3 linked regions of the Pelodiscus sinensis genome follow. The protein of the gene in region 1 purifies or fractionates together with the protein of each later gene. This does not show direct contact. Links are inferred from orthologs where the notes say so. Each region holds a gene or a part of one and is shown on either strand. Other genes may lie near its edges.

Region 1 (10,075 bases):
AATCACAGCTGTTCCGAAAGTGAAAGAGCGCACCTGGACGCGTTCGTTCAGACCAAATCCTTTGGTTCGAACTAATGTTACTCCTCAAAAAATGAGGAGTACCCTTAAAGACTAACAAATCTATAAAATCAAGAGCTTTGGTGAGCAAACCCCACTGCTCATCCTACTGTAGATGTGCCTTCAAGTGCTACAGGACAACTCACTGTATTTAAAGTTACAGACTAACATGGCTATCCCTCTGAGACTAATAAAATATTGTGCAGGTTGTGACTCCGAGGCAATAAAGGATTGAACCGAAGACATGAAGCAGCTAAACCTGAAGGCCGCCATTTTCCTGAATTTCTATCTAAATTATTTAACATGGTTAATTTGAATTCATGTGCATTAATACTAATTAATGTGGAAACAATGTGAAGAGATAATTGAATGTCTTACTGAAATAAATCAGTGTGAATATACAGGCAGTCCCCGGGTTACGTACAAGATAGGGACTGTAGGTTTGTTCTTAAGTTGAATTTGTATGTAAGTCGGAACTGGTACATATTGTAGGGGAAACTCTAGCCAAACATTTCTCCAGAGCTCAGTTTTATTCTCCCACACCTCACTTCTCTCAGTCCTTTATTCTCAAGCTGAGGTGTCTGCTGAGAAAAGCTGCTCCGCGTCTCCCTGGTCTGCTGAGGGGGGGGGGGGTGCTAGCTTCGTGTCTCCCTGGTCTGCTGGGGGGAAGCAGCTAGTGTGGGTTTGCCTCACCCCGTTTGTAAGTAGGGATCCGATGTAAGTCGGATCCATGTAACCCGGGGACTGCCTGTACTGCAACATTTAACCTTTGGGACCATTTAGGTCACATTTTAATGCCGGCCACACTGCATATATTCACTTAAGACCATGAAATAATCATACCTATATTTTCTCTTGCCCTTATTTTCTCTTCCCATACTGTTTACATCCAAAACAATGCAAAGTACTGTGGCATCTTGGAGACTAACACAAATATATATAGTATCATGAGCTTTCGTGGGAAAAACCCACTGCTTCAGATGAGCTTGAGTGGAGACAAAAAAAGGGGTGGGGGCTCTCAGAATTTATAACAGAAAAAGAAGGAGGGAGGAAGTACCTGTCAATTGTAGTGCTGATGCTAGTACGGCTACCCAGCACTACAATTGACAGGTACATTTTTTCTTCTCTCCTTTTTTTTCTGTTATAAATTCTGAGAGCCCCCAACCCTATTTTTTTCTCCACTCAAGCTCATCTGAAGAAGTGGGTTTTGCCCACAAAAGCTCATGATATTATATATTTTTTGTTAGTCTCCAAGGTGCCACAGGACCACTTGTTTTTAAAGTTACAGACTAACACATCTACCCATCTGAGACTTGTCTACATCCAAAAGTCCTTTCATAAATTTATCATGAAAAAATCATGACAAACCATTAATCATGACAACAAATTATATTACAAGGGAGTGAATTAACTATAGTAGTCTAAGGGTATGTCTACACTACGCAGCTTTTAGTGTAAAAGTAAGCATATGTGAATATTGTTTGTACTTATACCCTCCCAACAAGCAGCTTTTGCTTTGTCTTCAGGCCTGTGATAAAGCAGCATTCACATTTGTACTTTTTGGGACAAAACTTGTTCACAGGAAGGACAGGGTTAAGCACCTGTGAATGACAAAAGTTTGTCAATCAAGTGCAGTTGTAGACATAGCCTAAATACATTTCTCCTTTTCAGCACTAACAGTGAAGATAATTTGTAAATCAAGGAGATAAAACAAGAAGAAACTACAGGGTACAGAAACTATACAAATGGCAAATTATCTCAGCCTTTAAGCAGACTCCAGCCTTTGTAAACTTGCGTGCTCAGGTCCTCCTGAATGAAATGCCTTAAAATGGAGTGATCTGTAGAATGGCTCTCTGAGATTTCTGTGGCCTCTACATGTATGTGATTTGTGAGAGTTTTATAAACTTCTCCATTGTACTCTCACCAACTTCTGAGTTTCAACAACCTACATAAGACTCATTGGCAACCATCTCATAGCTTTTACTTTCTCCACTTCAGCATTAACATGTGAGAAATTTGGCAACCAGACAACTAACCCACCCCTTTCATCATCAAGCCAAGGCAACCACGTTATAGCCTCCATAAATTCCTCCCACACATCAGCTTCTATGTCAACCCAGAGGAACATAGCAATGACTATAAATTCATTTTCTATAACCAGTGACCTCACTCCTTTATCCCCACCCACTATCTCAATGCCAAGAGTTTCCTTTGCTTCCCATCAATGTTCCAGATAAGGAAGTCGGTAAAAGCCCTTATCTGCCCCCCACACCTGTCCCAAGTCCTCTTACATTCACCTTCCCCCCCCACACACACACAGAGCTAAATCTAGGTCCTTTCACACCCATTCCCACGCAGATGATCTAAGATGCCTTTTACACACACACACACACACACACACACACACACACACACACACACAGCCTGTGCCTGGCCCCTTTAACTAGCCACACACACAAGCGGTGCAAGACTCTTTACAGCCCCACCAAACGCTCCTTTCCGCCGCCTTTAGCCCCCCTCACTGTGCCTGAGTCTGCAGGACACGCGTGGACGGGGGTCTGGCACGGGCCTCGGCCCCACTTACTTGAGGAAGTATCTCTGGCCCGTGTGGGTGAGGGCCATCTCCCAGCCGGGCGGCAGCGGCAGCTCATCGGTCACGTCGTAGGACTGCTGGCGGAGGTGAGCGTGCTGCTGAGCCGGGCTGGGGGTGGCCCCGGCCCCGGCGCCTAGCAGGGAGGCTGGCGAGGAGTGCGAGCGGACATGCTGGGCATTCGCGGCGCTCAGCCGGGGCGGGTGGCTACCCGAGTCAGTGCTGGACTGGCGGGAGTGCGAGCCCGAATCGGGCTCCTTGAAGAAGGACTCGGGCAGGATCTTCTTCCGCCAGGAGCTGGGCTTGGGGTTCATGACCGAGTTGAAGAGCGCCTCGAGCTCCGTGTCCAGGTCCTGGGTGACATGGATCACTTGCTGCCCCGGCGGCGGAGGCGGAGGGACCGGTGTAGGGTTCATCTTCTGCCCCGCAGCACTAGCTCAACAATGCAACCAACTCGCCAACGAATGAACAGCGATCGGGTCTCCCCTCAAAACGCGTCTGTGTCCCGACCAGGGGCAGGTAGTCAACAGCGAAGGAGGGGATCCAAGCAGCACCCCCACAGCTCTCCCCAGGGGATGGGCGGTCAAAGAATGAGGGGTGCAGGGAGTCCCCCCCAAGTGTCTCCCACAAGGGCCTGGGCGATCAGCCGCAGAGAAAGTCACTTCAAACCAGCCCCCCCATAAAACGTCACTTCACCCCCTCCCCCAAACGCCCGGACACTCCGCAACAAAACAAGCAGGGGGTCCGAGCCGGTCCCCTCGGGCACAAATCAGTATCTCGCACGATCGAGTGCATCCGCGTCGGCCCCCACGCAAAGTTACGCAACTTTCCCTGAAACTTTGGCTACTTGCTGCAGTTCCCTGGGAGGAGGGGGGGCTCCCTTAAAGGGCGACGGGAGAGTCCTGGCGGCTGTCAGCGGGAGAGAGCTGGCGGCTGTCCGGATTCCAGCGGGGAGCAAGGCACGCGAGGAGGGGGAGGGAGCGAGGGGCCCGGGACGCTCCGAGTCCGAACGTGGGGACCCGGGGAACGTTCTGTCGCTCGCTCTGCGCCTCCTCCCCCAGCTGCAGAGGCGGGCAGGTCAGGACGTTGCTTCTTCTGCGCTGGCAGCGCGTTGCAAAGGGGAGCGTGAAGGCCGCGGGTGATTCTGCCCTCACATCCTCGCAATCCAGGCTGCCTGCGCCTGCCGCTGCGCCTGCTTCCACTCCCGGGCCGTCCCAAACAAACTTTGCGAAAAAATCTCAACCCTGAGAAAGAGGCGGGGCGAAAAGTTGGGGAGCGGCATTATTCATGAGCAGGGTGCCCAGGCGCTCCGCCCCCTTCTCCCTTCCGAGCGCCAGCCTTTCCCAGGTCGCCCTGCTGTGAGTCTCAGCTATGCGGGAAGAGGCGCTTGGGGCTGAGACGGGGGAGGTCTGCGGGGCTCTGGTCACTCAGAGTCCCCGGCTGGGCTGGTTCAGATTGCAATACTTGCAGGCATAAGGGGCCTTATTAGGCGGAGCAAAGAAGCCGCCAGGTCAGCTGCAAAAGGAGACCCGTGGGTTGATCTCTCAAGAGAGCCGCAGGAGAGCACAGGCGCCCCCGCTCTGCTACACCAGCCCGATTGCCGCGTCGGGCCAAATATCCCAATAACAAAGCTGCCGTTTTTCCATTGTTACCATATTTGGTATCCTGAAGGGGAAACTCGATCTCCTCCCACCCCCGCTTCCCAGTTCTGCAAGACACACCCAGCCGGGGTGGAGCGAGCCCTGACCTGCGGGAGGACCCCGACCCTTGCAGGGGCGGGGGAAGGCCTTTGTTTCCTTATGGATTCCTGTATCCTTGGGAGGGGAAGAGCCCTGCCCTGCGGGAACCTCTGAGAGGGGGAAGGGCTGTTCCCATGGGATCCCCACAACTTGGGTGGAGAGACCCAAAAGTCCTGCAAGGAGAGACTTGGTTTACTCAGGACACACAGACCCAACCCTTTAGAGGAAATCTCTTAATTTCCCCTAAAGGAATGAGGTGGAACCAGCTCTCCATCTTGGTGGGTAAGGCTTCTCACAACAGGCCCCAACTTTCCCCTCTTTCCTTTAACCTCTGTAGATTTCTGGGGCAGATCCCTTCCTCAGATGCACCCCATCAAGGCTACAACCCACTTGTATTTTGGGGCCCTGCATTGTTAATTAATCCAACATAATTAATTCCTTATTCTAAGGGTGGTCCCAGCTGGAACATGAGCTGAGGTCACAGTTAAGGTCTCATCCATTCTTCAAGATGATTAAAGGATGCTTTTGCAGGAGCTGAAGAAAACTGGTTGCCCTGACTGTTGTAATTTAGTTGACCTATTTAGAAACATTGACAAATATGAGCCCATACTTTATTTATGTGATGGAAAAACTAGGATGTACCCTGAGCCCCCTGTATGAATGTCATATTATGAATAGGGGGCCTGAACCATTCTACCTAGCACAGTTTGTAGGTGACAGGTTAAAGTTTGTGTCTGCATTTATGTCATGCAACAGATACTTTATATTAAAAGAGATTCTGAAACTTCCTTTCCTTTGTCATTCTAGATTTCATTAACTCAAGGTCACAACTGAAAAGTTTGTGTAATGCTAGGAAACCGCTTTTTAAAAACATTTCTGAACTGTTTCCTTTAGCAGCATTTTGGGTCTAATGGGAACAGACTGTTACTTAAAAAAAAGATAGCTAAAAAAGTGGTGTAATTCAACACTCAGAGCAAAAGATTTCTTAGATGAAGCCATTTTTAATGTGAGTTTCCTAGTATAGTTTAATTAGAGCTGAGGTGCTCTGATGGCAGGCACCAGTATTGGAATCCAGGCAAATAAAAATAGAAGGCAGTGAAACCATTTATAAAGAGGTTGGCTTTTTGATGACAGGTTAGGTCTGAACTTTCTGTAAAATGTTATCATGACCCACATCAGTCTGATACATGCAAAGGTAGTCACATTTCAGCTATTACTCTGATAGTCTTCTAGATTTGTCCTTAGCTCTATTTAGCAGTCACATATCCTACAGTAAAAACTAGTTAGGTTTGCCATGAAAAACATTTTGCTCTATTTAATTTATATCCAATAGTCATAGTTGCTTTCAAAGCATTTTCCTCAGACTTCCTGGCTTTGTCTACACTGCTGGCTTCTGCTGGCAGAGAGTAAGCAAATGAAGTGCTGATTAGCATTTTGTCACACTTCATTTACATAATCTATTTGAGCTGGTTTTGCGCAAGAGGTTTTTGCACAAAAATAAGCAGTGTGAACGTTTCCTTTTTGCACAAAACCCCCTTTTTGCACAAGATCTTTATCCCTCACTGGGAGAGGCATAAGGGTTTTGTGCAAAAAGGGGGTTTTGCGTAAAAAGAAAATGTCCACAGTGCTTGTTTTTGCGCAAAAACAGCTCAAATAGATTATGCAAAAGAAGCATTACAGAATGCTAATCAGCGCTTCATTTGCATACTCTCTGCCCGCAAAAGCTGGCAGTGTAGACATAGCCCCTATAAATCAATAGGTCATTCATATAAAGTTGATCCTCCTAATCCTTACTCAAGCAATTAAAGATTTACAGATTTGGGCCCTAACATACATGTTTTGCAATGGATTTACACTTCGTCTTTCTTTCCAAAGAACTTTACAAATTGTATACATCCAGTACGTCTCAAGTGCTGAGATTCCATGATGATAAACTAATCAGTACACAAAATATCATGGTAGTTGTGCAAAGATGACATTTTGGCAAAGGACACAAATAAATATTAAAAATTATCATGGACTCTTTAATGTTCATACAGCACAGGCGGGATCTAAATTTTTAAATTCACTTCTGAGAAACCTGACCCTATAACTCTGTATTAACATTTAATCGATGAATATCTGAGTCAGTCTTGTTGGGATTTGAACCTTTGGTTCAAAAAGTATAGGTAAGTTATACTGCAAGCTGAGACCCTCCTACATCATGAGGTGATTCAGTTACAGGCAGTCCCCGACTTACGCGGATCCGACTTATGTCGGATCCGCACTTACGAACGGGGCTTTCTCGCCCCGGAGGTCGAGGTGGCGGATTGCTACCTGCGAGCTCCGGGGCGAGAAAGCCCCGTTCGTAAGCTGCTCCGGTGCCCCTGGTCTGCTGGAGACCGTCCCCAGCAGACCACAGGCACCGGGACTGAAGCTGCAGCCACAGCAGGGTCCCGCGCCTCTGAGACTTTGCCAGAGCAAAGCCTCAGAGGCGCGGCACCCCGCTGCCGCTGCGGCTCTGCTCCCCGTGTCCCTGGTCTGCTGGGGGGGGGGGGCGCAGCTAGTGTGCCCCCCCCCAGCAGACCAGGCTTTTGTTTTGGACCCTGGGGCAGAGCAGCTGGGGCGCTGCCGATTGGTCCTGCAGCACCGCTCTGGGCACTACTGGACCAACCCGGCAGCACCCCAGCTGCTCTGCCCCAGGTCCTGATTCAGCCGCTGCTGGTCAGTTTCAGCAGCGGCTGAATCAGGACGCCTGGGGCAGAGCAGATGGGGTGCTGCTGGGTTGGTCCAGTAGCACCGAGGAGCGGCGCTACTGGAGCAACCCAGCAGCACCCCAGCTGCTCTGCCCCAGGCGTCCCCAAGTCAGCCGCTGCTGAAACTGACCAGCGCTGACTACAGGAAGCCCGAGGCAGAGTTGCTCTGCCCCGGGGTTCCTGGAATCAGCTGCTGATCAGTTTCAGCAGCAGCTGACTTGGGGACGCCTGGGGTTCTTAAGTTGATTCTGTATGTAAGTCAGAACTGGCGGTCAGTTTCAGCAGCGGCTGAATCTGGACGCCAGTTCCGACTTACATACAGATTCAACTTAAGAACAAACCTACAGTCCCTATCTTGTACGTAACCCGGGGACTGCCTGTATATGGTTTCTGGAAGGGAATGGCAAACTTGCAACATTTCAGGTTTTTATGCACTCTAAAATCCCACATATTTTAAAAACAGATACATTATAATGTCAGGATGAGTATGAGAGTGGTTTAGAAGAGGCTTCAGCCTCTCACTTTAGGACATAACCAACCACTAATTTCTAAAGTTAGGAAGACACCTTCCCTATGGGTGGTTTATTCCATAAGTGTCCATTGTGGATTTTTCCAAGTTTCTCTCACATAGCTAATACTGGGTACCATCTGAGACGCTGACCTGATAGTAGATGGCAATTCCTATGGTTCTATTTTCATGATGGACCAATGAAAATGACAGAATATTCAGAAAGGGCCAAATTGTTAAAATGATTGTGAAAACTCTGGAGAAAAGATTATATAAATGATAGCAATCCAAACATCTCAACAAGTAAGTGTAGCAAACAACCCAACAAAATATATATTGTTAAAATAAAAAAAATGTTTGGGGACTAGTTTAACTGATGCCTGTGCTTTGAATTTGTATAATTAGAAGCTATCCTGATTGCCAATTTTATGTAAACCATATATGCAAAGATTCATGGAGTAATGTTAGCCTTGTGCAGATGTTTCCTGACTTCTGTGTCCATGATGGATTAGCCATCTGTCATTAACAAAGTGAACACTTTTTTGCACATTAATTTATAAATACACAAAATACATACATTCTATAAAAGTCTCAGAGGGTTTGCCGTGTTAGTCTGTAACTTTAAAAACAATGAGTAGTTCTGTGGCACCTTAGGGTACGTCTACATAGTAACATTATTTCAAAATAACTAGCATTATTTTCAAATAATTTAGTCTGCATCTACACTGCAGGTAGTTATTCTGAAATAATGTTGAAATACTGTCAAGCTGAAGGACTTCTTACTCCGACTCCTGTAACCTTCATTGTACAAGGAGTAAGGGAAGTTGTTGGAAGAGTGCTCTATTTTGAAATAAGTGCTGTGTAGATGCTCCAAATTTCAAAATAAGCTACGCAATTGACATAGCTCAATTTGCATAGCTTATTTTGAGTTAAGCCCTGCTGTGTAGATGCACCCTTAGAGTACATCTACATTGCAATGCCATTTCAGGATACTTTTGGTATCCTGAAATAGCTACCCCACATCTACACAAGCTGCCCGGTATTTTGAAATAACGGACATGCCATTTTGCTATCTTGGTAAACCTCATTGCACGAGGGATAACAGATGGCCCGAAATAGCACGTTATTTCAAAACTTGGCACTATGTAGATGCACCAAATTTCAAAATAGATTCAAAGTAACATACACAATATGCGCTGTGCAAATTGCATATCTTTTTTCAAGTTTAGGGTACTGTGTAGACGCACCCTTAGAGACTAACCAATTTTTTATATTATATATATAAAATCATGAGCTTTCATGGGCACAACCCACTTCTTCAGATGAGATGGTCTTGAATAGAGAAAAAAAAAGGAGGGACCCTCAGAATAAGAAGAGAGAGGCAGGGGGAAAAATTACCTGGCAATTGTAGTCCCAGTGCTAATGAGACTAAATGAGTGGGCTGGAAGTGTCCCATGCTTAGCTTTTGACATCAATAGGGTGTTGAATGTAAGGAAAGCTGGTTTTATAAGATGTTAACCAGTTCAAGTCTTTGTTCAGGACAAGGGAGACAGTGTCAAATTTGCACATGAAGGTCAATTCTACACTCTCTCTTGTTGGCTTGTGAAATTCCTTTGTAGAAGAATAGCTACTTTTAAGTCCATTAATCAGTGCCCATGCAGGTTAAAATGTTCCTCTACAGGTTTACGTTTGTGCCATTTAAAATACCTGATTTGTGTGCATTAATCCTTTGCAGTAGAGACTGTCCAGTTTGGCCAATATACATTGCAGAGGGGCATTGCTGGCACCTGATGGCATATATCACATTAGAGAATATGCAGTTGTACGGTGGCTTATGTGGTTAAGTCCTGTGATAGTGTTGCTAATACAGATATGTAGACAGAGTTGGCAACAGGTTTTATTGCAGGGGTGGATTCCTGGGAGAGCATGTCTGAGGTGTAATGTTTGGCCGCTGGAAAGACTTTGCTTCAGGTTAAGGGGTTGTCTGTAGGTGAGGATTGGCCTGTCTCTCAAGGCCCGTGAGAGTGAGGGATCGTTTTCCAGGATAGTATGTAGCTTGTCAATAATGAGCTGGGGGCTGTACGTGATGACTAGTGGTGTTCTATTATTTTCCACGTTGGGTCTGTCTTGAAGAAACCGATTCCTGGGTACTCGTCTGGCTCCATAAATCTATTTCTTCACTTCCCAGGTGGGTATTTAAGTTTTAAGAATGCTTGATAAAGATCTTATTAGTGTTGGTCTCTGTTTGTGGGATTGGAGTAAATCTAGTAGTATCTTAGGGCCTGGCTGTAAACAATGGAATGTGTCCTGGGGTACGTCTAGACTACATGCCTCTGACAACAGAGGCATGTAGATTAGACTACCCGGCATAGGAAAATGAAGTGGTGATTTAAATAATCGCCGCTTCATTTTCCTATGCCAGGTAGTCTAATCTACATGCCTCTGT
Region 2 (10,733 bases), on another chromosome or scaffold:
CCATCCTCTCCTGTTTACTACAACATAGAAAATCTCTACCAATGGACCCTCCTCTAAGGGATGTCTCTGTCCAATCTAGGGATGTTAGTGTATAGTTGTTTAATCAGTCTCAAACTGTGGGTTCCAACCTCCTGGGAGGTCACAAGCAACTTAGAGAGGGATCGCAAGCATATTAGAGGGGGGTCGTGAGCAACTGAGAGGGGGGTTGTGGTATCACAAGTTTGAGAACCTCTGAATTAAGCCATAAGCATTAATCCAAATGACTACATGCATACACACATCTTTGCTGCCTCTGCATCGGAGGGGGAAGTGGGAGCTGGTTCTACAGAATTGCCTGCCACCACCCCTCCCTCACTGCTTGCCACAGAGGCAGCAGTATGGGGAAGGGGGCAGGCCTAAAAGCCAGCTCCCCACGAGCACTGGATCCCGTGTAGCCACCTACCCTCTCACTGCATTACTAACACCTGTCTTTTCCTAATAACTGGAGCTCCCTCCCCCAGAATGGCATCCTCAGTGGGAAAGGATAGCACAACGTTTTCTGGAAAGACGGTCTCAACTGTGAGATCATTTCCCTCTGCTCCAGTTGGATGTTCTCCTTCACTGAGACTTTCACTCCTCAACAACACAGAAACTGTCCGAGGGGGTGGGACTGTTGTAAGGTGCCCCAGAAGCTCTCGTGAGTGTACCTCTCTGCCTCCCTTAGCTGCTCCAATTCAACTGCTCTGGTCTCCAAAGCCTGTTTGTGGTCCTCTTGCACCCAATGCACACACACACACCACCTGTCTTCAGGGCAGGGAGTCATACAGGCTACCTTGGGTGCAATAAACGGGATAGCCCCCACTCTGTTGCCTGCATTCTCTCCTTACCCCTAGAGCTAATTCCGTTTGTGACAGGGTATAGTTGAAAAGTGTAAAGAATGTTCAGAGCATCTATCTCCCTTCAAACTCCCCGTCAAATCTCCCCATAGCTGCTCCTGTTTGCTGGCTTTACATTCAGTTCCCTGTTTCTGTTTATAAACTCCCTGCCCCAAAGGCAGTGCTGCTCCCAGCTCATCACCTATCACATGCAAACTGTGTTGCAGTTAAGAACTTGGTCTGGGGCTAGGGTACAAAATTTAGGGGGGCTAGAGCACACCTCTGCACCCTAAACAGCACCCGTATCTAGGGGACTGTGTTGCCCGGGCACCCGGGAATATGTTGGTGTTGCCTGGGTCCTTAACTCAATTAATTGTTGTTGTTTTTTAAATAAAACCAGAATGTCCGTGCTTCATTTGAATCATTGCTCTGGGGTGGGGCTGGGGAGGAGGGTGCAGGCTGCCCGGGGAGAGAGGACAGCCCCAGCCCTCTCTCACTGCAGCAGCTTGGCGTGAGGGGAGAAGCATATCCCCATGGCTGCTGCAGCTCGAGTGGACACAGCCACGGGAGGGGTGCGTGTCCCCTGGCTGGGGCAGGTCCAGGTTCATTTGCTCCTGTGCTCCCCAGCCAGAGCGAGGGATGCAGTAAACGGTCCGCTTTCCCCTCGCTCTGTGACAAAGATGCTCTTCCTCCATGGGTGGATGCCATCTCTGCTTAGCAACCCATGGGCTAAGTCTACACTGCAGGCTTCTTGCACAAGAACTGTTTTGTGCAAGAGTTCTTATGCAAAAGGCCTTGTGCAAGAGTGTGTCCACACTGCCATGTGCTTTGTGGAAGAGATGTGCTTTTGCGCAAGAGCATCCATGGCAGTGTGGACGCTCTCTTGCACAAGAAAGCTCTGATGGCCAATCTAGCCATAGGGGTTTCTTGCATGAGAAATCCATGTTGTCTGTCCACACAGGAGTGGCCTGAGGCAGGCTGCGGCAGCTGGCACCCCAGGCGGAAGGCGCAATGAGCCCCCGTCTGCATGGCCGTCTCATCAGGCACCCCGTGACATCATCATTGGGTGCCCCAGGCTGGCAGTACCCTAAGCGACCGCCTCGTCTGCCTAGGCTCACAGGCCACCCCTGTGTTCACACTGCCTTCTTGCGCAAGAGCTCTTGTGCAAAAAGGCTTATTCCTCATGGGGAGAGGAATAACTTGTGCAAGTCTTCTTTCCCGATGCTGTACTGTGAATTTACTTGTGCAAGAATGCGCATGCAGTGTAGACGCTCTGCCGTCTTGTGCAAAAAGCCTGCAGTGTAGATGTAGCCATGGTCTAGGAAGCCAAAGTCCTGCTGGCAGCACCATCTTCACAGCCAGGCATTCACCTCCTGTATGCATTTCTCTCTGGGACCCTACCCTTGACTGGAAGGTTCAAAGAGAACACCATCTATTCCAAATTCCTTCACCCGTACTCCAAGGCTACGTCTAGACTGGCATGATTTTCCAGAAATGCTTTTAACGGAAAAGTTTTCTGTTAAAAGCATTTTCGGAACAGAGCGTCTAGATTGGCATGGATGCTTTTCTGCAAAAGCACTTTTTGTGGAAAAGCGTCCGTGCCAATCTAGATGCGCTTTTCCGCAAAAAAGTCCCGATCGCCATTTTCACGATCGTGGCTTTTTTGCAAAAAACAAATCTGAGCTGTCTACACTGGCCCTTTTGCGCAAAAGTTTTGCACAAAAGGACTTTTGCCCGAATGGGAGCAGTATAATATTTCCGCAAGGAGCACCGACAATCTTACATGAGATCGTCAGTGCTTTTGCGGAAATTCAAGCAGCCAGTGTAGACAGCTGGCAAGTTTTTCCGGAAAAATGGCTGATTTTCCAGAAAAACTGGCCAGTCTAGACACAGCCCAAGAGCACTGTAGTTACTTCTGACCTGCTGAGGATCACACCTCAGAGTATCACTAGGGTCCACCTTGAACAGTTCCTTACAATTTGGGTTCAATACTTATGGAAAACATCCTGTGCCCCCTTGTATTTAGCTATGACATGATGCTGTCATTTCCCACAATCCCTCCGGAACAGAAGAGTTCTGCAAGTTGCAGAGCAATAACCATGGTGGGGCAAACTGGGCACAAAGTCATGGGGGGCAGAAAAATTATGAAAAAAACCCCAAAAACTGGAAGAAGGCACAAACTGTCTTGCTTTCCCCAGGTGCTGAAATGCCTGGTGATACCTCTGGGAAGCTTGAAAACTCATCTCTCTGGTTGGGGGCCAGGTCTACCTTAGTGAGCTTACAGCTACACAGCTATACCGGGACAGGGCACTCTTCCAGCCACACGGCACCTTCTCCAATGAGCCCCAGGAGCTGTGTCTGCTGAAGATCACCTCTGGATGACATAGCTCTGTCCACGCGAGGGCTGCTGTCTGGGGAACTGATGTCACTCTGACAAAAGTGCCCGTATAGACACAGCCACTAACAGAAGTGGGTCCAATAAAAGAGATGTTCTCGCCCTCCTTGTCTTGGTAATTGTCAGTGAGTAGCACAGCCATTCCCAGCGCATAGAGCTCAGTCCAGGGCTACCACAAAATGCTATGGGGCAATAAACTGGCAGTCAGGACAAAAGCCTGGGTGTGTGGGCATAAACCAACAGTCAGAGTTTAGTGTAGCTACAGTGTCATGTAAAACCACAGCCTGATGCCAATGGCCCCTACCCCCTCCAGGCTCTGTGTGCCGGGGACCCTACCCCCTCCAGTCTCTCTGGGCTGGGCCCCCCACCACCTCCAGTCCCTGGGCCGGGCCCCCCGCCCCCTCCAGTCTCTCTGGGCCGGGCCCCCCACCACCTCCAGTCTCTGGGCTGGGCCCCCCGCCCCCTCCAGTCCCTGGGCTGGGCCCCCCGCCCCCTCCAGTCTCTCTGGGCCGGGGCCCCCCGCCCCCTCCAGTCTCTGGGCCGGGGCCCCCCGCCCCCTCCAGTCTCTGGGCCGGGCCCCCCGCCCCCTCCAGTCTCTGAGCCGGGCCCCCCGCCCCCTCCAGTCTCTGAGCCGGGCCCCCCGCCCCCTCCAGTCTCTCTGGGCCGGGCCCCCCGCCCTCTCCAGTCTCTCTGGGCCGGGCCCCCCGCCCCCTCCAGTCTCTCTGGGCCGGGCCCCCCGCCCCCTCCAGTCTCTCTGGGCCGAGCCCCCCGCCCCCTCCAGTCTCTGGGCCGGGCCCCCCGCCCCCTCCAGTCTCTGGGCCGGGCCCCCGCCCCCTCCAGTCTCTGGGCCGGGCCCCCCGCCCCCTCCAGTCTCTCTGGGCCGGGCCCCCCGCCCTCTCCAGTCTCTCTGGGCCGGGCCCCCCGCCCTCTCCAGTCTCTCTGGGCCGAGCCCCCCGCCCCCTCCAGTCTCTGAGCCGGGCCCCCCGCCCCCTCCAGTCTCTCTGGGCCGAGCCCCCCGCCCCCTCCAGTCTCTGAGCCGGGCCCCCCGCCCTCTCCAGTCTCTCTGGGCCGAGCCCCCCGCCCCCTCCAGTCTCTGAGCCGGGCCCCCCGCCCTCTCCAGTCTCTCTGGGCCGAGCCCCCCGCCCCCTCCAGTCTCTGAGCCGGGCCCCCCGCCCTCTCCAGTCTCTCTGGGCCGAGCCCCCCGCCCCCTCCAGTCTCTGGGCCGGGCCCCCCGCCCCCTCCAGTCTCTGGGCCGGGCCCCCCGCCCCCTCCAGTCTCTGGGCCGGGCCCCCGCCCCCTCCAGTCTCTCTGGGCCGGGCCCCCCGCCCCTCCAGTCTCTGGGCCGGGCCCCCCGCCCCCTCCAGTCTCTGGGCCGGGCCCCCCGCCCCCTCCAGTCTCTGGGCCGGGCCCCCCGCCCCCTCCAGTCTCTCTGGGCCGGGCCCCCCGCCCCCTCCAGTCTCTCTGGGCCGGGCCCCCCGCCCCCTCCAGTCTCTCTGGGCCGGGCCCCCGCCCCCTCCAGTCTCTCTGGGCCGGGCCCCCCGCCCCTCCAGTCTCTCTGGGCCGGGCCCCCCGCCCCCTCCAGTCTCTGGGCCGGGCCCCCCGCCCCCTCCAGTCTCTCTGGGCCGGGCCCCCCGCCCCTCCAGTCTCTCTGGGCCGGGCCCCCCGCCCCCTCCAGTCTCTGGGCCGGGCCCCCCGCCCCCTCCAGTCTCTGGGCCGGGCCCCCGCCCCCTCCAGTCTCTGGGCCGGGCCCCCCGCCCCCTCCAGTCTCTGGGCCGGGCCCCCCGCCCCCTCCAGTCCCTGGGCCGGGCCCCCCGCCCCCTCCAGTCTCTGGGCAGGGCCCCCCGCCCCCTCCAGTCCCTGGGCCGGGCCCCCCGCCCCCTCCAGTCCCTGGGCCGGGCCCCCCGCCCCCTCCAGTCTCTGGGCCGGGCCCCCGCCCCCTCCAGTCCCTGGGCCGGGCCCCCCGCCCCCTCCAGTCTCTGAGCCGGGCCCCCCGCCCCCTCCAGTCCCTGGGCCGGGCCCCCCGCCCTCTCCAGTCTCTGGGCCGGGCCCCCGCCCCCTCCAGTCTCTGAGCCGGGCCCACCGCCCCTCCAGTCCCTGGGCCGGGCCCCCCGCCCCCTCCAGTCTCTGGGCCGGGCCCCCCGCCCCCTCCAGTCTCTGGGCCGGGCCCCCCGCCCCCTCCAGTCTCTGTGGGCCGGGCTCCCCGCCCCCTCCAGTCTCTGTGGGCCGGGCCCCCGCCCCCTCCAGTCTCTCTGGGCCGGGCTCCCCGCCCCCTCCAGTCTCTGTGGGCCGGGCCCCCCCGCCCCCTCCAGTCTCTGGGCCGGGCCCCCGCCCCCTCCAGTCTCTGGGCCGGGCCCCCCGCCCCCTCCAGTCTCTGGGCCGGGCCCCCGCCCCCTCCAGTCTCTGAGCCGGGCCCCCCGCCCCCTCCAGTCTCTGGGCCGGGCCCCCGCCCCCTCCAGTCTCTGAGCCGGGCCCCCCGCCCCCTCCAGTCTCTGGGCCGGGCCCCCGCCCCCTCCAGTCTCTGGGCCGGGCCCCCCGCCCCCTCCAGTCTCTCTGGGCCGGGCTCCCCGCCCCCTCCAGTCTCTCTGGGCCGGGCTCCCCGCCCCCTCCAGTCTCTGGGCCGGGCCCCCGCCCCCTCCAGTCTCTGGGCCGGGCCCCCCGCCCCCTCCAGTCTCTGGGCCGGGCCCCCGCCCCCTCCAGTCTCTGAGCCGGGCCCCCCGCCCCCTCCAGTCTCTGGGCCGGGCCCCCCGCCCCCTCCCGTCTCTGAGCCGGGCCCCCCGCCCCCTCCAGTCTCTGGGCCGGGCCCCCGCCCCCTCCAGTCTCTGGGCCGGGCCCCCGCCCCCTCCCGTCTCTGAGCCGGGCCCCCCGCCCCCTCCAGTCTCTGGGCCGGGCCCCCGCCCCCTCCAGTCTCTGGGCCGGGCCCCCCGCCCCCTCCAGTCTCTCTGGGCCGGGCTCCCCGCCCCCTCCAGTCTCTGGGCCGGGCCCCCCGCCCCCTCCAGTCTCTGGGCCGGGCCCCCGCCCCCTCCAGTCTCTGGGCCGGGCCCCCGCCCCCTCCAGTCTCTGGGCCGGGCCCCCCGCCCCCTCCAGTCTCTGGGCCAGGCCCCCGCCCCCTCCAGTCTCTGGGCCGGGCCCCCCGCCCCCTCCAGTCTCTGGGCCGGGCCCCCGCCCACATTACAGGGCCCCGAGGGGCCATCCGCCCCCATTTCCCAGGCGCCCCACGAGCCGCCCATCGCCCCCCAGCCAGGCGCGGCCGGGCAGCAGCCAGGGCCCCACCCCTGAGCCTCTCCTCGCGCCGGTTGCCAGGGAGCCGCTGTTGCCATGGCGGGGCGGCCGAGGCGCATGCGCGCGCTGGCGGAAGTGCCCGGATATAGCAGGAGGAGGCGCTCCCGCCGCCATCTTTGCCCGTAGCACAGAGAGCTGGTCGCGGCGGAGCATCCCGGACTCATCCGCCTCCATCCAGCCCGCGCCGCCCCCGCCGCCGCGTCTCTCGGACATGGACGATCGGGAGGACCTCGTGTACCAGGCCAAGCTGGCCGAGCAGGCTGAGCGCTACGATGGTGAGCGCCGGCCGGGCGGGCGCCGGGGAGGGCCGGGGGAGAAGGGAGGGAGCGGTCACAAAATGGCGGCGGCTGGGCAGGGGGGCAGAGGCGGCCGGGGGGGGTACGAACAAAATGGCGCCTGGGGTGGCCCCGCGGGGGCGAGGCAGCCGGCAGGGGGGCGCAGGGCCGAGGGGGCCTCGCCCGGGGGGGTCAAGGCGCGGCGGCGGCGGGGAGCCGGAGTAAAATGGTGGCTGGGAAGGGCGATCCCGGGGGTGGGGCAGGGGAGCCGCCCCCTCGCGGGCGCCCGACCCCCCCCCCCGCGCCCTTTCTCGTGCCCGCCAGCGCGGGCGGGGTGGCCCCTCCCCACGGAGCCCTGCCCAGCAGCGGGCCCAGAGGGAGGGTCCGGCCTGGGGGGGCCGGGTCACGTCGCCGCAGTCAATCTCCAGCCACCCCGCTGCGTGTGAAAGGGGGGCCTGGCCCCTAGGGGGGCCCTTCTGCGCCTCCTTCCCAGGCCTGGCCTCCTGGGCGCGCCTCCGTGTTCTGCCTGCCCTAGGCTGGCACTGTGGCTCTTTAGGGTACGGACCCTTCGGTCTCTTAGCTCTCCCGGCACAGGCCAGACTCAGGTACGTGCATCTTATTAGCCTTAGGCTTCAAATGATCGTGAATGGGAATATCAGGCTTTTTGAAGAGTCGGGGGGGTTTCTTTAAAGTTCATGGGCTGTGCTGATTTACATATTTGTAGGGAGTTCAATATCCCTGAGCATTGAGGTGGTTCTTTCTGAATGAACAGTAGGGTAATATATGCAATTGTCAGGGTCTGACACAATCTGCTTGTCATGCCACACCCTTGCTACTTATTTAAAACTAAATTAGATTCCTAACTGTTATGCTTGCCAATAAAACAAACTGAATGGGACTGTGGTGTAAACCTATGGGATACTGGCCTCCTGAGCTGTCATCAGTCCATTCCCCTGCATCAGTTGCTGGTCCTGTCTTTCCCAAGTGACAAGATAAAAAATGATCAGGATCTTTCTTACCATTACTGTTCAGAGCACCCCTGGAGGCAGTAAAACTGACAAGAATTAGGTCAGCTTTTCTCTGGAGTGGCTACCATTAGTAATGTGCCAACACTGAAGAAATATATATATTGGGGGGGGGGGGGCACAAAATGGAGCCCCTAAGAAGAAATACAAATAAATGCTGTCCTTTGGAATAGCCATGAGTCTGGGGAAGTGTTAGAGCAGTGGCTCTCAACTAGAGGCCCATGTACCCTTGTGGGAGAGGGGTGTACATAGGGGTCTTCCATGGGCGCCTCAACTGATCTAAATATTTGCCTAGTTTTTATGTAACCAGTTGTAAGGGTACTAGCAAAGTCTGTACAAACTAAAAGTCACACAGTGACTGGCTTGCTTTAGCTACTGTACACCAGAGAGGTAAGTGTAATGGTTATATTCCAGCTAACTCATAACATGTAAAAATGAGAACAGTTTTTGAGTAATGACATGCTAGGACACTGTATTCTTGTGCCTCATTATTTGTAAAGCAAGTCACTTTTAAGTGAGGTGAAACTTCAGGGTATGCAAGACACAGCAGATGCCTGAAAGGGATTCAGTAGTCTGGAATGGTTGAGAGCTACTGTGATACAGTAATTCAGAATTCACATATTTTTTCCCAGTACAGTCAGTCCCCGGGTTAACGTACAAGATAAGGACTGTAGGTTTGTTCTTAAGTTGAATTTGTATGTAAGTTGGAACTGGTACAAATTGTAGGGGAAACTCTAGCCAAACATTTCTCCAGAGCTCAGTTTTATTCTCCCACACCTCACTTCCCTCAGTCCTTTATTCTCAAGCTGAGGTGTCTGCTGAGAAAAGCCGCTCCGGGTCTCCCTGGTCTGCTGGGGGGGGGGGGGGGGCGCTAGCTTCGAGTCTCCCTGGTCTGCTGGGGGGAAAGAGCTAGTGCAGGGTTGCCTCACCCCGTTTGTAAGTAGGGATCCGATGTAAGTCGGATCCATGTAACCCGGGGACTGCCTGTAGCTGGAGAGGGGTTTAAAACATATTGGCTCTCTGCTAGACCATGGCTGTGCCATACGACTTACTTGTCAATGCTAGGTTTCCTGGTATATTAGCAAATTGTAGTTTAGATGCAGCTTATGTTGGCAAAAACACTTTTTCCTGGTATAACCACATCAACGTAAGGGTTTTTGATGGCATATCTGTGGTGACTGGCGATGCTGGGAAAACTTACAAGAAGACAAGGCCCAATTTTGAGCCCCCGTGCAGGGTCTAAACAGCATTGTGATAGGCATTCTAGCATGTTTCTGTGGGGGGAGGTGGCTGTTTTTTAGGAAGATGTATGCATCTGCATAGCATTCCCATGGTATTTCTTCTTAGTGCCTGGTAATTTTTCAAATTCTGTTATGACAAGGGAGGGAAACAGTTTTTGATGGTGGGGGCATTCCAAGGTTTTGGAAGTGGTCAAGGGTCGCACTTGTGTGTGGAAGAGGTGTGGGGCTTGGGACTGAGGTTGGGTGCAGAAGGGAGCTCGGGGTTACAGTATAGGTGAAGAGAGGGTGTGGGGTCTGAGAAGGAGTTTGGGTGAAGGAGGAGGTTGTGACATGGGGCAGGGCATTGGGGTGTGGGAGAGTGGGGTGTCGGATGTAGGCTCTGGCTGGGAGACACTTACCTAGGGATCTCCCAGCCAGCAGCAGCTTTGGGCAGGCTTCCTGCCTGATGGTCCTAGTGGGGTGGGCTGGCAGTCTTGCCTGCTTCTGTAGTCTAGGCATCTGTAGTGTGAAGCAGCCAGTTCTCATGATGATTAGGATATTAATTTGTTGGATTTGCCTCTTGGTGAGATTTTCCATATACGTTTTGTGTCTTTATCAATGTCCATTTAGGAAAAGGAAGCAGAAATTGGCTAGTTCAAGAGGTGAAATGTTATGCATTATGCAGTTGTATGGCTGATGAGATTTTCAGTTCATCAGATTTTTGTAGAGTCCAAAGCAGTTTGGTGGAATGACGCTGTAAAATAGAGCAACAGTTGAAAATCATAGTTAAAATGCATTTTTGTGTTTGTGCTTACCTTAGCTTTTCATTGTATATGTGGGGGTAACTGGTTTAACTAACTGCTTCAGCCTCCCCTGCTGGTCCTATGGAAATTAGCTCTTTCCACTGCTGGCACCTTGCTCTGGTGGTGCCTTGCTTGCCATTACTAGCTGTCTCTCCACCACGCCATGACCCATGTCCTGCCCAGACTGCGGTGCCCTTGGGTACTGAACTCTGGGGTTCCTGCTGCCCCCCAGTCCCACCACTTGCCTCAGTGACCCACTGCAGTCATTCGTTTAGCTCTTCCCTTCAGGGCAAGCTGCAGTCTGAATTGGCCACTCATCATTGATAAAGATGGTAAACCTGTTGCTCACTTCCCCCCCCCCCCCCTTCCTGCAGCCCTAGTATCCTTTTGGCTCCTGGGAGTGGGTCAGGCCAGAGCTCCCCTGACCTTCCCCAGCACTGCTGTGACTCTGGTCACTCTCTAAATATAGGTAGTGAGTTCCCTTGTCCAGAGTTGGAGACATACTGAGCTACTTCTGCCTTGCAGCCCATTTTATAGGGCCTAGCTGGGACCTGATTAGCTGCCTTAAGCCTTCTCTCAGTTGGCTCCTAGAGCAGCCATGTCCCAGGCCTGTTCTAAACTTGCCCCCTCAAGCTCACCTCCCTTGCTGTAGGGGGGTTTCCTGGCCTGTACCACATCTGGGAGGGTTGGTCTCCCAGGGCCCCTTTTCTTTGTAGCCTGGGCACCTCTTGCAGCCTGCTCTACCACAGCATTTGTTCCCATTTCTGCCATGTGCCTTTTGTCTGCCACCTGCAGGTGGCTCCCTGGCAAGTCCACTGCCATCACTGTGGCATTCGTCCTGCCTGCCAGACTTTGATCTAGTTGGGTCCTCAGGCACCTCTT
Region 3 (10,721 bases), on another chromosome or scaffold:
AGGAATTCCGGATTCTCCATTACGGCATAGGAGGTGCCTAGTTCTAAATAACTGTAGTGATGGGACCAGGGGAGCCAATAGCCACACCCGGCTCCTGAGCTCTGTGCTCCTGGAAGGGGCTGGGCTGAAGGCAGAAGGGGCGGGGCCATGCCACTCCCGCACTGCCGGGAGCATGACACATCCCTCTGTCCCTTAGACACATGCCCCTCTGGTGGGGATTTAAAGGGGCCCTTTAGACTTACTGGACCCTGGGGCAATTGCCCCCTACCCAGTCAGCTTTGATGAGACAGTCACTCCCAATGGCACCCAAGGGTACAGTATTTTCTGTTACTATCTATCCCTTTCCAAATGGTTCATAACATTGTTAGCTTTTTTGACTACCACTACTCACTGGGCAGATGTTTTCAGAGAACTATTCAGGATGACCCCAGGTTCATTTTCTTGAGTGATAATGTCTAATTTAGACCCTGCCCTCCTCCCCCTGAATTCTATATTAATAGATGGAATTATGCTTTCCAATGCACGTTGTTTTGCATTTATCGATACTGAATTTCATCTGCCACTTTATTGCCCAGTCATCCAGCTTTGAAAGGTCCCTTTGTAACTCTTAGCAGCCAGATTTGAACTTAACGATCTTGAGTAGTTTTGTATCATCTGCAAAGTTTGTCATCCGTTTACTCCTTCCCTTCCATTTATGAATATGTTGAACAGCTCTGATCCCAGTACAAATCCCTGAGGGATGCCATCACTTACCTCTCTCCATTCTGAAAATGGACCATTTAGTCCTATTTTTTCTTCCTGTCTTTTAGTCAATTACCAATTCATGAGAAGTCCTTCCATTTTACCAGAGGACAGCTTATTTTGCTTAACAGTCTTCAGTGAGAGACCCTGTGAAAGACTTTCTGAACATCCAAGTACTCTAAACAATTGGCAAGGCACAATTTCCCTTTGCAAAAACGGTGTTGACTTCCCCCAACAAGCCATGTTCATCTATATGGCTTATAATTCTATTTTTTACTATAGTTTTAACCAATTTGCCTATTCTGAGGTTAGGTTTACCACCCTATAATTGCCAGGATCACCTCTGAAGCTTTTTTAAAAAACTTGCATCACATTAGAGATCCTCCAGGCCACTGGTACAGAAGCTGATTTAAGAGATAGCTTACATATACCCGTTAGCACTTTTGGCAGTTCTAGAAATAAAAGTCTCTTCCCTTCCAGTCTATAAAAGAAAATGCTTAGTTTATCTTTTTTCTTGTCTGATTTTTTTTCTTGTGGGTCTTGCAAGTCTGAGAGAGAAGAACACTTTTCTTTTATGGCAGCGTTTCTCAAAGTGGTCCACAGAGCTACTCTGAGAAAGCTGCTAACAGGCCGCTCTGGTTTGTTTATTTACCAGCTCTGCAGCCACAGAGCCTCGCAGCTCCAACTGGCTGTGGTTTACCATTTGCAGCCAAGGGGAGCCATGGGAAGCAGCAGCCTGGCTCTCACCACTTCCTGCAGCTCCCCTTCGCTGCAAATGGTGAACTGGAGCCAACGGGAGCAGTGAGGCTCGTGGCTGTGGAGCTGGTAAACAAACAAACCGGAGTAGATCCACGGACCATTTTGAGAAACACTGTCTTAGGGAAAAGCAGTCCATTAGTCATTTATTTCTCAATGCAGTGAAGCCCTTGGTCATTCTTAACATCAAGAATGAGTTAAACAGTCTATGGCCTGTTCCTGGGAAAGTTCTCTCCCCCACACGGACATGCCTCTCCCAATGGACTGAAGGTTTCATTGTTCCAATGAAACACAACCAGGCTGTGGTCATGAAGGGACAGGTAGCTAGGGCCAGTACCATGGAGGGATTGAAATATCTTGAATTGACCCTCTTTATTCAATAGGAAGCCAATGCAGAATCAGGAGCACCAACATAGCGGTCTATGCTACTAAGTAGACAGTTGGAATTTTTTTCAGGGCACAAGTCTCCATAACGCCTACTTACAATGAGTCGTAATTATCAACTCTAGAGGTCACAAATGAGTGGATTACCATGACTTGATATATAACAAACAAGCCATGGCACATTCCTCTAGTCAATTACATATGGCGAGGGCTTTTTTTTTTTTTTTTTTTTTTAAACTCCCAAGGATATTTTGACACCCCCTATCTTTTTCACCTCTTCCATAAACTTGACAAAAATACAGGAACTGGCAAAAGAATTCAATGACCTGGACTACAGATGTATGTGACTAGTCGACTACCCAATAAATGCTTCTCAAGCAGTGGAGTAGGAATTTGACTAGTTGCTTCTCCCCCTCCATTGCTGCCTCTATCAGAGAGGGGCAGTAAGGAGGGGGGGAGCAAGAGCCAGCACTGGGGGAGCCAGGTTAAAAGCCATTTCCCACCCCTGCACCCTCTCCACAGGGGGCAGCGGGGAAACAGTGCAAGTGACGATTTAAACTGTCCCATTAGCGCTGGTCCTTTCCCTTTGGACTGTACAAGAGCTGCCTGTGACTCTTGTATATTTCAAAGGAAGAGGCACAGAGGGGAACCCACACCAGCTGGGATTTCTTTGCTCTCTGCTACCTCTCTCTCTTTGAAATGTACAAGAGTCATGGGCGGCTCTTGGACATTTCAAAGGGAGAGGCGCAGTAGGATAGCAAGTGCCCCCCTTATCGACTAATCGAGTAGTCGATGGAAATTCCATTGTCTCCTCAATTATCTGATTAACTTGAAATGTAACATTCCTAATCTGGACATAAGAGATTTAAAAATATGTACCAATTATACAAGATTAAAAAAAAAGAAGCTAATCAACAATTTAGAATTTCTACCGACTTTTGAAATGCAAAGGAAAGCCAAGATTTGTATCTGGTGTTTCAATATTTCCATACTGGGCATACATTCTAAAAGCTTAGCTGTATTTTATGTTCTTTATGAGCACAGATTTAATTCTGTGCCAGTGAAAGCATTAATTCACAACAAATAAACTTCCAACAAATGTTGCCAGTCACTTGAAATGTATTCTTAGAAGCAAAACAGTTTAGAGCGTCTAAAATTAGTATTAAACTAAAGCTGGCATCACTCTCTGCTTTAGTTTCTTGATGCTATTTTTCCAATCAAACAACTTAGAAATATAAACAATGATAAAGGAGGAATATAATTGTCGTCTCACTCGGTGTATTACCCCAAATCTAAAAAAGCCAGTCACATTTGAAAACTCGTCTGGCTACTGATAGCCAAAGCTATTTTCTGTGCCACAGGCCAATTTATAACCCAAGACAATGTAAAGGCTCTTTGCATCCTCTCTATTAACAAGGATGTAATAGAGCAGGCAGATGTAACAGGGTAAAATGTCACTATGTATATTTCCATACCCAGGCTAAAAAGGGGCTTAAGAAAAAAAGACTACGGAGAGCAGATGTGCACCCCAAATACTCTACGCAGAACCAAAACCTCACCTCGCACCAATACTTCGTTGATCATCTCTTACCACCACTCAGGCCAGAAATCTTGTTTAGAATCTCTACAGTTCTCTGATGGTCCTAAACATACCTTCAGATCCCCAACTGCCACATCTGCAGGTCCCTCCCTGATCCCCAGCACAAGGTTTCTCGTCCACATGCTCTTGCGCCCAAATCCAAGCATTTAAGCCCACCTCCTAAAAAACTCTATGCTCATCAACTAGCATCCGCCAGTGCAGCCAAAAGATACCCCAAGCCCTGCCCACACTGTACAAAGATCTCACTGTGACTTTACAAAGGCTCAGGTGCCTTCCCCCACCCCCATCCCAGCACTCACCCTTGCTCCAAGGTCCCTGCCTCTCACACTCCAGAACTTGCCTTCTTCCTGACTCTGCACCCTGGCTGATTTCCCCACCTAATGCTATCCTAAGTGCCCCCTGCTCTCGCACTCCCCAACCCGTTTCTCTCCTATCAGAGTCCTTTGAGAGTCTCAATACCCTGCGACACCCATCCCCATGACCAACTTCCCCAGGCCCTCCCGCACCATCGCTCTGGCACTCGCATCGCTCAGAACCCCCCATGCCTTGTTCTCCAGCCCTGAATCTCCCACCCGCTGGTAACCCCCCACCCTAGCACTCACCTATCCCGCAGATGCCTGCTCCCCCAAGCACCCCCTCCCCCTGCCAGCAGCCCCCCCATCTGTGACTCGACAGGTACCGCTCCCCCAGCTCTCCCCATAGGGCCGTGCTCCCCCACCACTTGACCCTCTCTCGGCATTCCCATAGAGCAGCACCCTCTCCCCCCCGGCGTCCTGCTCCCCCATCTCTCCCCCCCCCCGGCACTCCCGTAGAGCAGCGCCCTCCCCCCCCCCCTGGTGTCCTGCTCCCCATCTCCCCCCCCCGGCACTCCCGTAGAGCAGCGCCCTCCCCCCCCCCGGTGTCCTGCTCCCCCATCTCCCCCCCCCCGGCACTCCCGTAGAGCAGCGCCCTTCCCCCCCCGGTGTCCTGCTCCCCCATCTCTCCCCCCCCCCGGCACTCCCGTAGAGCAGCGCCCTCCCCCCCCCCGGTGTCCTGCTCCCCATCTCCCCCCCCCCCCGGCACTCCCGTAGAGCAGCGCCCTCCCCCCCCCGGCGTCCTGCTCCCCCATCTCTCCCCCCCCGGCACTCCCGTAGAGCAGCGCCCTCCCCCCCCCGGCGTCCTGCTCCCCCATCTCTCCCCCCCCGGCACTCCCGTAGAGCAGCGCCCTCCCCCCCCCGGCGTCCTGCTCCCCCATCTCCCCCCCCCCCGGCACTCCCGTAGAGCAGCGCCCTCCCCCCCCCGGTGTCCTGCTCCCCCATCTCCCCCCCCCCCGGCACTCCCGTAGAGCAGCCCCCCCCCGCACAGCGCGCCCCTCCCCCTCGCCGCCCCCCCGCGCTCCGGCCCCGCAGGCGGCTCACCATGAACTTCAGGGCCTTGTCCTGCAGCACGGCCTCGGCCGGCTCCATAGTCCCGCCCCGCCGGGGCCAGGGCCGGGGCCGCCCAGTCCCTCAGTGGCAGGCCGCAGCCAGCGCAGGCAGGAACCGCCGCTTCCCCCCGGCAGGGCGCGCGCGCCGCCCGCAGGCCCACGGGAAATGTAGTCCCCGGCCGCGGCCCCGGCAAGCGCCCGGGCGGCCCGGAAGCACTACACCTCCCGGCATGCCGCGCGGCCGCGGGCCCTGTCGGCCGCAGAGCAGCTGTGCGCATGGCAGGCTGCTGGCGGGGGGCGCGCGGGGGCCGATGGGAGTTGTAGTCTGCGCGGGGCGGTAGGCGGGGAAGGAGCAGGAGCACTGCCAGGACTCCCATGCGCCCAGCTGATCGGCCACTGGCCGGCCGGCTCCTGGAGTCGCGTGATTAGAATCGCAGCCCCTCCGCAGGGCATCAAGTCAGGTGCACGCGGGGCAGCCTGGCCCCAGCCAGGGCAGGGGGGGGGGCAGTAGTTTTTGATGGGAGGGGGCACTCCAAGAATTTGGAAAGTCGGTCGAGGGCTGCATCTTCCATGCTCTGACCGGAGGGGTGCAGGGCGTGGGATGGAGGGCGGGCGCAGGAGGGGGCTATGACCTGGGACAGGAGAGGTGCAAGAGGTGGTGCAGGAGAGGATTCTGACCAGGAGGAAGGATGGAGGCAGCGGTGCAGGATCTGGGAGGCGGTTGTGATCTAGAGCGGGAGTGCAAGGATTTGGGTTGTAACTGGGGGTGGGGATGAGGGTGCAAGGTCTGGAAGGGGATTGTGACCTGGAGGAGGGGTGCAGGAGGGGATATGGGTGCAGGATCAGTGGTGCAGAGGATTTGGGTTATGTGGGACAGGAGTGCAGGAAGGACGGGGGGTAGAGGACTGGGGGAAAGAAGAGGCTGGGTGCCAGAGGCAGGCTTCGGCTGGGAGACACTTACCTGAACAATTCCTGGCCAACAGCCCTGCCCAGCAGGTTTCTCAGCCAGGCTCCCTGCCTTCCATGCCCCCACAAGCTGCTCAAAGCAGAAGCTGCTCTAAACATTGTGAGCCCGGGAGAGGGGTACTTTGCGTGCTGCCGGTCCTGAGAACAGGCAGCTCCCATTGGCCAGAAACCAGCCTATGGGAGCTGTGAGATTGTGCTGGGGCAGGGGCAGGATGAGAAGCCTCTCCCCAGGTTCACAGCAGTCACATAAGCATAGAGCTAGCTTACTTCTTTGAGCAGCGTGCAGGAGTGGGGCAGGTAGGGATCCAGTGGCCGCTCATGAGCTGTATTTTAACTGCCCCTGATCTAGAGCACAGGGCAACCCTTGCCTTTTTTTTTTTTAAGGACGTTTCTCTGATGGGTGCAGAGGAAGCTTACGAGTGGGACAGCTGTAGCTTGGCAGCTCTTGCACCAGCCCAACGTTTGTTGTGTGATTTCACCAGGTCCAACCCCCAACGTTTTGATGCTCCCGAGTTAGCAATTCCCCCTTGTCCTCGCTGCCTGCACTGCGCTAACACCTAGAACTGCCAGTGGGGGTGGTGCCTGTTACGCTAGGCGCTGTACAGACACGGAACAAAGAGCTGGTCCCTGCCCCAAACAGCTTGCAATCTACAGCCAGCAGGTAGTTCCGCCAGACCAGCGAGGAGTGGAAGGAAGTGCCGAAAGGTTGGAGTGCTGGACGGCCGTCTCGCGACACCGTAGGTGCGAGAGGTGGTAAAGGAGACAACCGCTTGTTTGAAAATGTTACCTGGTGGGTGACAAAGGCTCCAGGCATTGGCAAAGCAGAGGCAGGAGGAGTGGGGGGGGGGGGGTGGTTACAGATGGGGTGGACATAGACCACAAAGGGCCTTGCAAAGGAAAGCAAGTAACTCCTGCTGCGGGGAGGAAGTGTCTGCAAGTGACCCCGTGTGGCACTGGTGGAGACACAGCGACCCTGTTCCATGGCTGGACGGGTAGAGTTCATGGGAGCACCATTTGCTTTAGGGTGGGGAGGGATGCATGCTCCATCCTTTGTAGCTCCTTCCTGGCCTTGCTGCAGGGTCTTCCCTGGGCCTGGGGAGGCTACTGGAGCAGGCCTAGGTTCCTAAAGTGCCACATTATCAGCTCCATCCCTATTTCCCACTGGCTGGGCAGGAAGCTGCATCCTGCCATGGCAGCCCCAGAGCAGACCACAGAGGGAGCTAGGTCCTGATCTCTGCCCCAGGATAGGACCAGGCTGTCTCCTCCCTGCATCCCCTCAGAGATGGGACCAGACCACTAACCCATCACAGCCAGTTCCATGCCCGACTTTTTCCAAAAAAGATGCCCCTGCATGAGAGGGATGGTTAAGGCCCTACAGGTGTGTTGTGGTGCCAAACCACAGAGGATTTCATGGCAGCACAGGGCACCCCACAGCCATTGAGAACGTCACTGCATCAGCCTGGCTAGAACCAGATCCTTATCATCTCAGCTAAATGGGAATCTCCCCCGGTTGCTGAACGGTATAGGACCTATGACACACATGGGAGCAGCTGTCAACATAGCGAATGCAGGCACATCGCTATGATGGGAAGTGACGCACATACTGCTGCACCACGGTCATGCGCTGATGAAACCCTTGTGAGAATTTCACACACTTGTGTTTGCACCAGTACAAGCCACGTGGCTCGTGTCTACACAGGGCCACGCTGCAGCCGTGTAAGTGTGGCGAGGTGTAAGGAGATCTGGAGTCCTGATGCAGGCTCACTGACTGGAGGGGGATTATCATGGCAGATTGTGGGAGACAGGCTGACTTGTGAGGGAATTTGGGGAGCAGACATCACCCACTCCTCATCCCATATCATAAGTGTTTATGAGATGGTTCGATTGCAGAGTGGGGATGGAGTTGCTTGTGTGTTAAAGCTATATTGGCAAAAAAGATCTCTTGGCACTGGAAAAGGTTCAGCAAAGGGCGATAAAAATGATGAGGGGTTTGGAACAGGTCCCATATGAAGAGAGATTAAAAAGACTGGGACTTTTCATCTTAGAGAAGAAGAGACTTAGGGGGGATATGCTAGAGGTCTATAGAATCGTGAGTGGTGTGGAAAAAGTGAAAGGAAAAATTATTTACTTATTCCCACAATGTAAGAACTAGGGGTCACCCAATGAAATGAATGGGCAGCAGGTTTAAAACAAACCAAAGGACGTTTTTCTTCACTCAGCGCACACTCAACCTGTGGAACTCCTCGCCAGAGGATGTGGTGAAGACCAGGACTTTAACCAGGTTCAAAAAAGAGCTATATAGATTCATGGAAGTTAGGTCATCAAGGCTGTTAGCCAGGCTGGGTAGGAATGGTGTCCCTAAGCTTCTGTTTCTTCGGAGGTGGGGGACGGGGAGGGATCAGGTAAGGATTACTGTTGTGTTCCCTCCCTCTGGGGTATCTGGTATTGGCCGCTGTTGACAGACAGGACACTGGGCTAGATGGACCGTTGGTCTGACCCAGTCTGGCCATTCTTATGAACATTGCCCCCAAAGAGCTTTACTCAGGGAGAGAGAAAAAAGCAGAGGCAATTGTTAACGTCTTGTGTGCTTCATTTGCAATGGGCTTGCCGCATTAGAGCCCAGCACTGCTAGGCATGGTAGCTCAGAACCCCCAGCCAGCAGCTACAGCTCTCCAGCTACCCACCTTAGAAGGCAGCACCATCACTGGCACCAATGCAGAAGGGTAGCAATACGCTGCCCCATGCCATCTGTTCTATGCTGCTACTGGCGACGGCGCTGCCTTCACAGCTTGGGAATTCAGCTGCCATTTACAGCGTTGTATCTATGGGAAAATGCATTCCAAGTTCCAAACAAATGGCTTACAGACGAACTTTTGGAACACACCCCGTTCGTAAATTGGGAACTCCCGGTATATAAATCGCTGGCTGGCTCACACCTGGAATATTGCGTGCAGTTCCAGTTGCCCTCTCTGAAAAACGATATATTCATATGGGGAAATGTACAGAGAAGGGGGAGAAAAAAAGATCAGGGAATGGAACAGCTTCCATAGCAGGAGAGATTAAAAAGACTCAAGACTTTTCCGCTTTAGAAAGAAAACAGTGAAGGCAAAGTTATGAGAGAGGTCTATAAAATCAGGAATGGTGCGGAGAAAGTGAATAGGGAAGTGTTATTGACTTCACAGAACACAAGAACCTGGGGTCGCCCAATGAATTAATAGGCAGCACTTTCAAACCAAAAAAAAAAAAAAAAAAAGGAAGTATTTCTTCACACAATATGCAGTCAACTTGTGGAACTCCTTGCTGGGGGATATTGTGAAGGCCAAAAGTATAAGTGGGTTCAAAAGACGACTAGATAAATGCATGGAGGATGGGTCCATCGATGGCTACTAGCCAAGACCATCAGGGAGTCAACCCCATGCTCTGGATGTCTTAAGCCCTTAACTGCCAGAAGCTGGGAAAGGGGATGGTAATTGCCCTGTTCTGTTCATTCCCTCTGAGGCCCCACCCTGCCCCTTCTGATTAAGGCCCCACCCCTTCTGGGAGCACGAAACCTCCCCACACACACACTTTGCCCAGGGCCCAAGCAAATTCTGTCGACCCCGCAACAGCATGATAGACCGTGGTCTCGGTACCTGATTTAAGCACCCTGAGTTATGCAGAGGAAATGGATTCACCCCTCCTTTCCCATCCTGTCTCCTGACCCAATAAGATCACACCCTGCAAATCTGAAACAAATGCCTTTTTACAGCGCGATTTGGATCAAAGGTCCTGCGGGCTTTTCCCACCCCAGCAGGGGTGTCCCGGCCAAACCTCTCCGGACAGCGGTTATCGAGGGGATCCCATTTTCTGTCCGGAGTGGCTGAGCTCTGCACGGGTGGCTGCATTTTGTGCCGAGCCTCGTGCCAGGTGCCGAGTTTGGGTAGATGAAAGATGCGGCCTCCCCATACAGTTACCACAGGGATCATTTCTGTGCCGTCTTATTGCTTCGTGCCTGGCAGCCCACGTCCGCGGTACGGCTCCGGATTAATGCGGCGGCAATCATTAACTGGATAAAGAACAGCTGGTGCTTTGCTTGAAGTGAAGATGTTGGGGTCAGTAAATACAGGGCTGGTGAAACCATCTACCGCCGGTCTTTCGCTGCCTCTCGCTGCATTCCAGAGGGGCTTCCTGTCTTGTCCCTGCGCCCCTCCGAGGAAACGGCAGGAGCCAGCCCATGAAAACGGGAGCTTTCATCAGAGCCGTTCCTTTGGGCATTCGTGCCGGAATTTTCATATTTTGAATAATAAAGGAGGGTTTGAAATTAAATTTGTGGGCTTGCCATCTGTGTGCGCTTGGACTTATTTTCCTCGTCTTTGGCAGGCTCCGGCCTTCATGCTTCCCCTGCCGAAATGAAAAGAAAGAAAGGGAACGGAGGGGGAAGGGGGAAATCGGCAGGAGACGGCCTCCTCGTTCCCTTTGGCGTGTGACTGTCTGTGGGCAAGGACTGATTGCTGCACGCAGGACACCCCCGAGCCCAAAGTGTGAGCGAGAGGCATGAATAGAGCACATGGAGGAGTGGGGAGCCCAGGACTAGGTTTGGACAACCGGGCCTGGGGAGCCCCCAAGGAGGAGCAGAGAGGTAGAGCTAGGAGGGACCTCGGGCCCAGGAAGGGCAGTGCGAGCGACTCCTCCCCACTCTTCCAGCTCAGAGTCTGAAGGCTCCTTCTGCGGCGACAGCTGGGCACTTTGCTCTGTCCCTGCTGCCCGGAGTGCCTGGCATCCCTGCTGGCTGGGTCCTAGCCCTGCAGTAGCACCCCCCTGTGCCTCCAGCTGCCGGGGCCTTGCCAGGAATAAAGAGCTTTTAGCAGAAGCGTCCTGACAGTGCAGGGT

What was found.
Region 2: the proteins of WWTR1 (region 1) and YWHAE purify together in Homo sapiens (co-immunoprecipitation; 5 studies listed by BioGRID and IntAct, with this or other methods). This does not show direct contact. The link is inferred for Pelodiscus sinensis from reciprocal best matches to the Homo sapiens genes WWTR1 and YWHAE.
Region 3: the proteins of WWTR1 (region 1) and BTRC purify together in Homo sapiens (affinity purification with western blotting; 8 studies listed by BioGRID and IntAct, counting the BioPlex papers as one, with this or other methods). This does not show direct contact. The link is inferred for Pelodiscus sinensis from reciprocal best matches to the Homo sapiens genes WWTR1 and BTRC.

Annotation. Positions count from the first base shown.
Region 1 is NC_134720.1:25,966,115-25,976,189, forward strand, and holds the start of WWTR1 (WW domain-containing transcription regulator protein 1), read right to left. Parts: upstream 4,243-10,075; 5' UTR 3,064-4,242; coding exon 2,642-3,063; intron 1-2,641. UniProt on the Homo sapiens protein: Transcriptional coactivator which acts as a downstream regulatory target in the Hippo signaling pathway that plays a pivotal role in organ size control and tumor suppression by restricting proliferation and promoting apoptosis.
Region 2 is NC_134731.1:1,404,320-1,415,052, reverse strand, and holds the start of YWHAE (14-3-3 protein epsilon), read left to right. Parts: upstream 1-6,614; 5' UTR 6,615-6,739; coding exon 6,740-6,803; intron 6,804-10,733. UniProt on the Homo sapiens protein: Adapter protein implicated in the regulation of a large spectrum of both general and specialized signaling pathways. Binds to a large number of partners, usually by recognition of a phosphoserine or phosphothreonine motif.
Region 3 is NC_134718.1:73,919,387-73,930,107, reverse strand, and holds the start of BTRC (F-box/WD repeat-containing protein 1A), read right to left. Parts: upstream 5,057-10,721; 5' UTR 4,927-5,056; coding exon 4,879-4,926; intron 1-4,878. UniProt on the Homo sapiens protein: Substrate recognition component of a SCF (SKP1-CUL1-F-box protein) E3 ubiquitin-protein ligase complex which mediates the ubiquitination and subsequent proteasomal degradation of target proteins. Recognizes and binds to phosphorylated target proteins.